2 linked regions of the Macaca mulatta genome follow. The protein of the gene in region 1 interacts with the protein of each later gene in a biochemical or structural test. Links are inferred from orthologs where the notes say so. Each region holds a gene or a part of one and is shown in the gene's direction. Other genes may lie near its edges.

The links. The genes of interacting proteins can lie anywhere in the genome.
Region 2: the proteins of UBC (region 1) and AP2A1 form a complex in vitro, tested with the Homo sapiens proteins (2 studies listed by BioGRID). The link is inferred for Macaca mulatta from reciprocal best matches to the Homo sapiens genes UBC and AP2A1.

Annotation. Positions count from the first base shown.
Region 1 is NC_133416.1:132,361,947-132,365,833, reverse strand, and holds UBC (polyubiquitin-C), read left to right. Parts: upstream 1-1,425; coding exon 1,426-3,255; 3' UTR 3,256-3,323; downstream 3,324-3,887.
Region 2 is NC_133424.1:62,271,585-62,275,148, forward strand, and holds part of AP2A1 (AP-2 complex subunit alpha-1), read left to right. Parts: coding exon 1-2; coding exon of another isoform or gene 3-91; intron 92-1,652; exon of another isoform or gene 1,653-1,787; coding exon 1,788-1,911; intron 1,912-1,995; coding exon 1,996-2,112; intron 2,113-2,206; coding exon 2,207-2,276; intron 2,277-2,452; coding exon 2,453-2,587; intron 2,588-3,008; coding exon 3,009-3,086; 3' UTR 3,087-3,478; coding exon of another isoform or gene 3,479-3,564. Other genes in the region: FUZ (protein fuzzy homolog), read right to left, coding at 3,479-3,564.

The DNA of each region.
Region 1 (3,887 bases):
CGTCCGTCTCGCGGGGTGGGCCAGGGCGGGTCGCGAGGGAGGGGAGGGAGACCCCGACTCTGCGGGAGGGGCTCCGTCCGCGCCCCACGTCCGCCGAACGCGGGGTTCGCGACCCGAGGGGACCGCGGGGGCTGAGGGGAGGGGCCGCGGCTGAGGAACGCGGGCTGCCCACCCGCTCCTGGCGCCGCAGAGTCCGCACCGGGTTTTGGCGCCTCCCGCGGACGCCCCCTCCTCTCGGCGAGCGCCTCCACGTCATGGCCGCAGGGCGCAGCGAGCGCCCTGATTCTTCCGCTTGGGCGCTCAGGACGGCGGCCCGCTGCCCACCAGACTCAGTCCCAGAACCCCAGTCTCAGCAGGAGGACATTTTGGGACGGGACTTGGGTGACTGTAGGGCACTGGTTTTCTTTCCAGAGACCGGAACGGGCGAGCAAAAGTAGTCCCTTCTCGGCGATTCTGCGGAGGAATTTCCTTGGGGCGGTGAACGCCGATGACTATATAAGGACGCGCCGGGTGTGGCGCAGCTAGTTCCGTCGCAGCCGGGAGTGGGATCGCAGTTCTTGTTTGTGTGTCGGTGTCATCGCCACTTGGTGAGCAGAGGGCTGCTGGGCCGGCCATGGCTTTCGTGGCCGCTGGGCCGCTCGGTGGGATGGAGGGGGGCCGACGCCGCGGGATGAGAGGCCGCCGAGGGCTGTAGTCTGGGTCCGCGAGCAAGGTGCCCCTGAGCAGCGGGTGGGAGGGGAGCGCAGCAAAATGGCGGCTGTTCCCGGCTCTTGAATGGAAGACGGTTGTGAGGCGGGCTGTGAGGTTGTTGAAACAAGGTGGGGGGCATGGTTTGCGGCAAGAACCCAAGGCCTTGAGGTTTTCGCTAATGCGGGAACGCTCTTATTCTGGTGAGGTGGGCTGGGGCACCATTTGGGGACCTTGATGTGAAGTCTGTCACTGACCGGAGAACTCGCTTTGTCGTCTGTTGCGGGGGCGGCAGTTAATGGCGGTGCCACTTGGCAGTGCACCCGTAGCTTGAGGAGCGCGCGCCCTCGCAGTGTCGTGACGTCATCCGTTCTGTTGGCTCATAATGTGGGGTGGGGCCACCTGCCGGTAGGTGTGCAGTAGGCTTTTCTTCGTCGCAGGACGCAGGGTTGGGGCCTAGGGTAGGCCCTCCTGAGTCGACAGGGGCCTGACCTCTGGTGAGGGGAGGGATAAGTGAGGCGTCAGTTTCTTTGGTCAGTTCTATGTTCCTATTTTCTTAAGTAGCTGAAGTCTGAGTTTTAAACTATGCGTTCGGGGTTGGCGAGTGTATTTTGTGAAGTTTCTTAGGTATCTTTTAAATTGTAATCATTTGGGTGAATATAACATATAGTTTAAGTATTAGGAAGATTAGTACATTGTCTGCTAAATGGTGGTGGTTTTTGGCTCTTTTGTTAGACAATGCAGATCTTCGTGAAGACCCTGACTGGCAAGACCATCACCCTTGAGGTTGAGCCCAGTGACACCATTGAGAATGTCAAGGCAAAGATCCAAGATAAGGAAGGCATTCCTCCCGACCAGCAGAGGCTGATCTTTGCCGGAAAGCAGCTGGAAGATGGGCGCACCCTGTCTGACTACAACATCCAGAAAGAGTCCACCCTGCACCTCGTGCTCCGCCTCAGAGGTGGGATGCAGATCTTCGTGAAGACCCTGACTGGCAAGACCATCACCCTCGAGGTCGAGCCCAGTGACACCATCGAGAACGTCAAAGCAAAGATCCAAGACAAGGAAGGCATCCCTCCTGACCAGCAGAGGTTGATCTTTGCCGGGAAACAGCTGGAAGATGGACGCACCCTGTCTGACTACAACATCCAGAAAGAGTCTACCCTGCACCTGGTGCTCCGCCTCAGAGGTGGGATGCAGATCTTCGTGAAGACCCTCACTGGCAAGACCATCACCCTCGAGGTGGAGCCCAGTGACACCATCGAGAATGTCAAGGCAAAGATCCAGGACAAGGAAGGCATTCCTCCTGACCAGCAGAGGTTGATCTTTGCCGGAAAGCAGCTGGAAGATGGGCGCACCCTGTCTGACTACAACATCCAGAAAGAGTCCACCCTGCACCTGGTGCTCCGTCTCAGAGGTGGGATGCAGATCTTCGTGAAGACCCTCACTGGCAAGACCATCACCCTTGAGGTGGAGCCCAGTGACACTATTGAAAATGTCAAGGCAAAGATCCAGGACAAGGAGGGCATCCCTCCTGACCAGCAGAGGTTGATCTTTGCTGGAAAGCAGCTGGAAGATGGGCGCACCCTGTCTGACTACAACATCCAGAAAGAGTCCACCCTGCACCTCGTGCTCCGTCTCAGAGGTGGGATGCAGATCTTCGTGAAGACCCTGACTGGCAAGACCATCACCCTCGAGGTGGAGCCCAGTGACACTATTGAAAATGTCAAGGCAAAGATCCAGGACAAGGAGGGCATCCCTCCTGACCAGCAGAGGTTGATCTTTGCTGGAAAGCAGCTGGAAGATGGGCGCACCCTGTCTGACTACAACATCCAGAAAGAGTCCACCCTGCACCTCGTGCTCCGTCTCAGAGGTGGGATGCAGATCTTCGTGAAGACCCTGACTGGCAAGACCATCACCCTCGAGGTGGAGCCCAGCGACACCATTGAGAATGTCAAGGCAAAGATCCAGGATAAGGAAGGCATCCCTCCTGACCAGCAGAGGTTGATCTTTGCTGGGAAACAGCTGGAAGATGGACGCACCCTGTCTGACTACAACATCCAGAAAGAGTCCACCCTGCACCTGGTGCTCCGCCTCAGAGGTGGGATGCAGATCTTCGTGAAGACCCTCACTGGCAAGACCATCACCCTTGAGGTGGAGCCCAGCGACACCATTGAGAATGTCAAGGCAAAGATCCAGGACAAGGAAGGCATCCCTCCTGACCAGCAGAGGTTGATCTTTGCTGGGAAACAGCTGGAAGATGGGCGCACCCTGTCTGACTACAACATCCAGAAAGAGTCCACCCTGCACCTGGTGCTCCGCCTCAGAGGTGGGATGCAGATCTTCGTGAAGACCCTCACTGGCAAGACCATCACCCTTGAGGTGGAGCCCAGCGACACCATTGAGAATGTCAAGGCAAAGATCCAGGACAAGGAAGGCATCCCTCCTGACCAGCAGAGGTTGATCTTTGCTGGGAAACAGCTGGAAGATGGACGCACCCTGTCTGACTACAACATCCAGAAAGAGTCCACTCTGCACTTGGTCCTGCGCTTGAGGGGGGGTGTCTAAGTTTCCCCTTTTAAGGTTTCAACAAATTTCATTGCACTTTTCTTTCAATAAAGTTGTTGCATTCCCAACTGGTGTGGTTTTTTAAAAGTTAAGGTTATTTTGCATTAGACTGGGTGAAGGGGATCAAGGTTTTCAGTTTACAAATGTTGCTGTGGTAACAGTGAAATGTCAGTGAAGGGGTTGACCTTAATATAGTACGAACTGTAGAAGGTGGGTGCAAATAAAAGCCGGCTTCAAGACCAGATTGGCCAATGTGGTGAAACCCTATGTCTACTGCAAATACAAAAAGGCAGGTGTGAGTGTCTGTGATTCCAGCTACATGGGAGGGTGAAGGAGAATCCCTTGAACCAATTAAGCGGAGGTTGCTGTGATCTGAGTGCCACTGTCCTCCCGCTGGGGGAACAGCAAGACAAAAAAGTTGTTGGGAGATGGAAGTATTTTACATATGTAGATTTAACTCTTAAGTTAACTTTAAAAATACTGGTTTGTGGGTGATGTGTGAGGTAAGAGAATGGGAGAATTACCGGAACACCAGGAAGAAGGAATTTTAAAAGGTGGGAGTGGTGGGAGGGTAACTATGAAAGGATGCTTCAAGTACATAGGTCTGTATAAATGCGCATTGAGCTGCGTAG
Region 2 (3,564 bases), on another chromosome or scaffold:
TCATATCCTCTCAGGCCCGGCCCAGCCTCCTGCCTCCAGGCCTGCCTCTCCAGGTTGGCCTTCCTCATCGTGGGGAAGCTGGCTGACCCAGGTCCACACTTCTCTTTAGCCCCTCTTGGGCACGCAGTTACTTCTCTGAGATTCAGTGTCTGCATCTGTAAGATGGGGGTGGGGTTCCTTCCCCCAGGACAGGAGATGACAGTGAAGTGGTGTGTGGGAGGCATTACTTCCGGAACTCACCTGCTCCAGGCCTCAGTTTGTCCCTGTCTGGCACCTTCCGTGTCCTGCCATTATCCTCCACTGGGCTCCATGTCATGATGCCAGCACCTCCTGCACTCAGAAGCCAGGCCTGCGGGTCCAGACGCTGATCAGGGCCTCCTCCTGTATGACCTAGGCTGAGTCACTTTGCCTATCTGGGCCTTCCTGTCCCCACCGGGAAGTGTATGTAGACCCTCCTCTTCCTCATAGGGTTATTGTGAAGATCAGAGTATCTGGAAAACCCTGGAAGGGTGGCTGGAGGTATCAGTACCCCCTGTTCCTTCTCTGGGCCTCCATTTCCACATTGATGAAATTAGAAAAGCTCAACCCCCAAACTCCTTCCGGCCGGGCGTGGGGGCTCATGCCTGTAATCCCAGCACTGGGAGGCTGAGGCCAGCGGATCATTTGAGGTCAGGAGTTCAAGACCAGCCTTGCCAACATGGTGAAACCCCATCTCCACTAAAAATACAAAAATTAGCTGGGTGGTAGTGGTGCGCGCCTATAATCCCAGCTACTCAGGAGGCTAAGACAAGAGAATCACTTGAGCCTGGAGGTGGTGGTTGTGGTGAGCTGAGATTGTATCACTGCACTCCAGTCTGGGCGACAGAGTGAGACCCTGTCTCAAAAAAAATCAGAAACAAAATTCCCTCTTCCATAATTTCCAGAGGCTCGTGCAGGCAGCTCCGTGGAGGCAGTGGCAAGAGAACATGAGACCCAGGCCTTCCCAGTGGGCTACTGACACGGATGCAGATGACGATAACGCTAATTGCTACCATCTTTGTGTACTTATCATGTACCGGGCACACAGACAAGTACTTGTAATGGATTTTTTTTTTAAATAGTGATGAGGCCTCACTGTGTTGCCCAGGCTTGTCTCAAACCCTTGGGCTCAGTGATCCTTCCCACCTTGGCCTCCCAAAGTGCTGGATCACAGGCGTGAGCCACCACACCCGGCTGGATTATTTCATCAACTCCTGAGGACATTTTACACATGTCCTTTTGTTGAGACAGGGCCTCACTCACCCAAGCGGGAGTGCAGTGGCACGAACACTGCTTACTGCAGCCTCGATCTTCTGGGCTCAAGGCATCCTCCTGCCTCAGCCTTCCAAGTAGCTGGGAGTACAGGTGCACATCACCACACCTGGCTAATTTTTTTTGTAGAGATGGGGTCTTGCCATGTTGCCCAATCTTACACATGTCCAGAGGCTTAGAGAGGTTAAGTGGCTGCCCACAGCCACTCAGGTGGGTAAGAGATGGGATTCAAACCCAAGTCAGCCTCCAGAGCTAATACTATTATGTCTCAGTGAGGTGTGACATTGTGGGAGGCCAAAGGAGGCACCTAGGGGGCGCCTCAGAGGTTTCCATAGTATGAACTTTGTAGTTGAACCTTGTAGGATTGAGTCCAGGATTGCACCATGGGGTCCCTCAAAGACCTGCAGGCGGGAGCTGCCGGCAGCTCTGGGGTTCCTGACCCAGACCTCCCGGGGGCCCGCCGCCTCTGTCTGGCTTCCTTGACCGCTGGCGGGCACAGCTGGCTGTGCAGACCAAGCGCGTGGCGGCGCAGGTGGATGGCGGCGCGCAGGTGCAGCAGGTGCTCAATATTGAGTGTCTGCGGGACTTCCTGACGCCCCCGCTGCTGTCCGTGCGCTTCCGGTAAGTGAGGTGTGGCGCGGCCAGTGGGCGGGGCCTCCCGGGCGAGGGGCGGGGCCTAACGGAGCCTCCCCCTCACTCCACCAGGTACGGTGGCACCCCCCAGGCCCTCACCCTGAAGCTCCCAGTGACCATCAACAAGTTCTTCCAGCCCACAGAGATGGCGGCCCAGGATTTCTTCCAGCGCTGGAAGCAGCTGAGCCTGTGAGGGGTGGGGAGGGGGCGGCGCCAAAGCCGCGCCTCCGGGTGGGCGGGTCGGGCCGTCCAGGTCCCTGACTTGAACCTTCCCGGTCCCCAGCCCTCAACAGGAGGCGCAGAAAATCTTCAAAGCCAACCACCCCATGGACGCAGAAGTTACTAAGGCCAAGGTGAGAGACCGCGGGCGTGTTTGCTGGCCTAGGGCTGCTTTGCTTCTCTGAGCCTCTGTTTTCCCATCTGTAAAGTGGGGCCAATTCCCATCCCCAAGGGTTTTGGGATCTGGGATGCCACTGTGTGGTAACTGACAGCTCTGGCACTCTCTGACGGCGGCCCCCCTCCCTCCCAGCTTCTGGGATTTGGCTCTGCTCTCCTGGACAATGTGGACCCCAACCCTGAGAACTTCGTGGGGGCAGGGATCATCCAGACTAAAGCCCTGCAGGTGGGCTGTCTGCTCCGGCTGGAACCCAACGCCCAGGCCCAGGTGAGTGCTGCTGTGGGAGGCCTGAGGTCGGCAGGAAGGCCACCTGTCATCTCTGTGCCCACTCTTCCTGCCTCACTGTTCAATTCACGTCCCCCCTTTGACCCTCCTCCTCTCGCATCTTTGTCCACTTTTCCTCCTCTTTATCCATCAATCTTCTCTCCTGTCTCCAACCTCTGGTCTTCCTCTCCTCTTCCTGTCCCTCCCTGATTTCTACCTTTCCATATCGTTTCCACCTTTCTCTTCTCATTTATAATTTCCCTCCTTTCTGGCTCCTCCGTTGATTTCATTCTTACATTCTCCTCTCCTGTGTCTTGTATCACTTTTCTGGCCCCTTTATCCTTCTTTCTTCTATCTCCCTTGTGTCCCCACTTCCCTGGGCTCCCCATCTTCTCTGAGTTCTGCCCCCAATGTCCCCACCCAGATGTATCGGCTGACCCTGCGCACCAGCAAGGAGCCCGTCTCCCGTCACCTGTGTGAGCTGCTGGCACAGCAGTTCTGAGCCCTGGACTCTGCCCCCGGGGATGTGGCCGGCACTGGGCAGCCCCTTGGACTGAGGCAGCTTTGGTGGATGGGGGACCTCCACTGGTGACAGAGAAGACGCCAGGGGTTGGGGGATGCCTGGGACCTTCCTCCGGCCTTTTGTATTTTTATTTTTGTTCATCTGCTGCTGTTTACATTCTGGGGGGTTAGGGGGAGCCCCCTCCCTCCCTTCCCCCTCCCAAGCACAGAGGGGAGAGGGGCAAGGAAAGTGGATGCCTCCTCCCCTCCCACCCCACCCTGTTGTAGCCCCTCCTACCCCCTCCCCATCCAGGGGCTGTGTATTATTGTGAGCGAATAAACAGAGAGACGCTAACAGCCCCATGTCTGTGTCCATCACCCACTGCTAGGTAGTCAAAGAAGTGGGGTGAGGGCATGCAGAGTGTGGGTGGCTAGGCTTCGCAGCCCATGGCTGGGACTCTGGGGAGACAGCAGCAGCA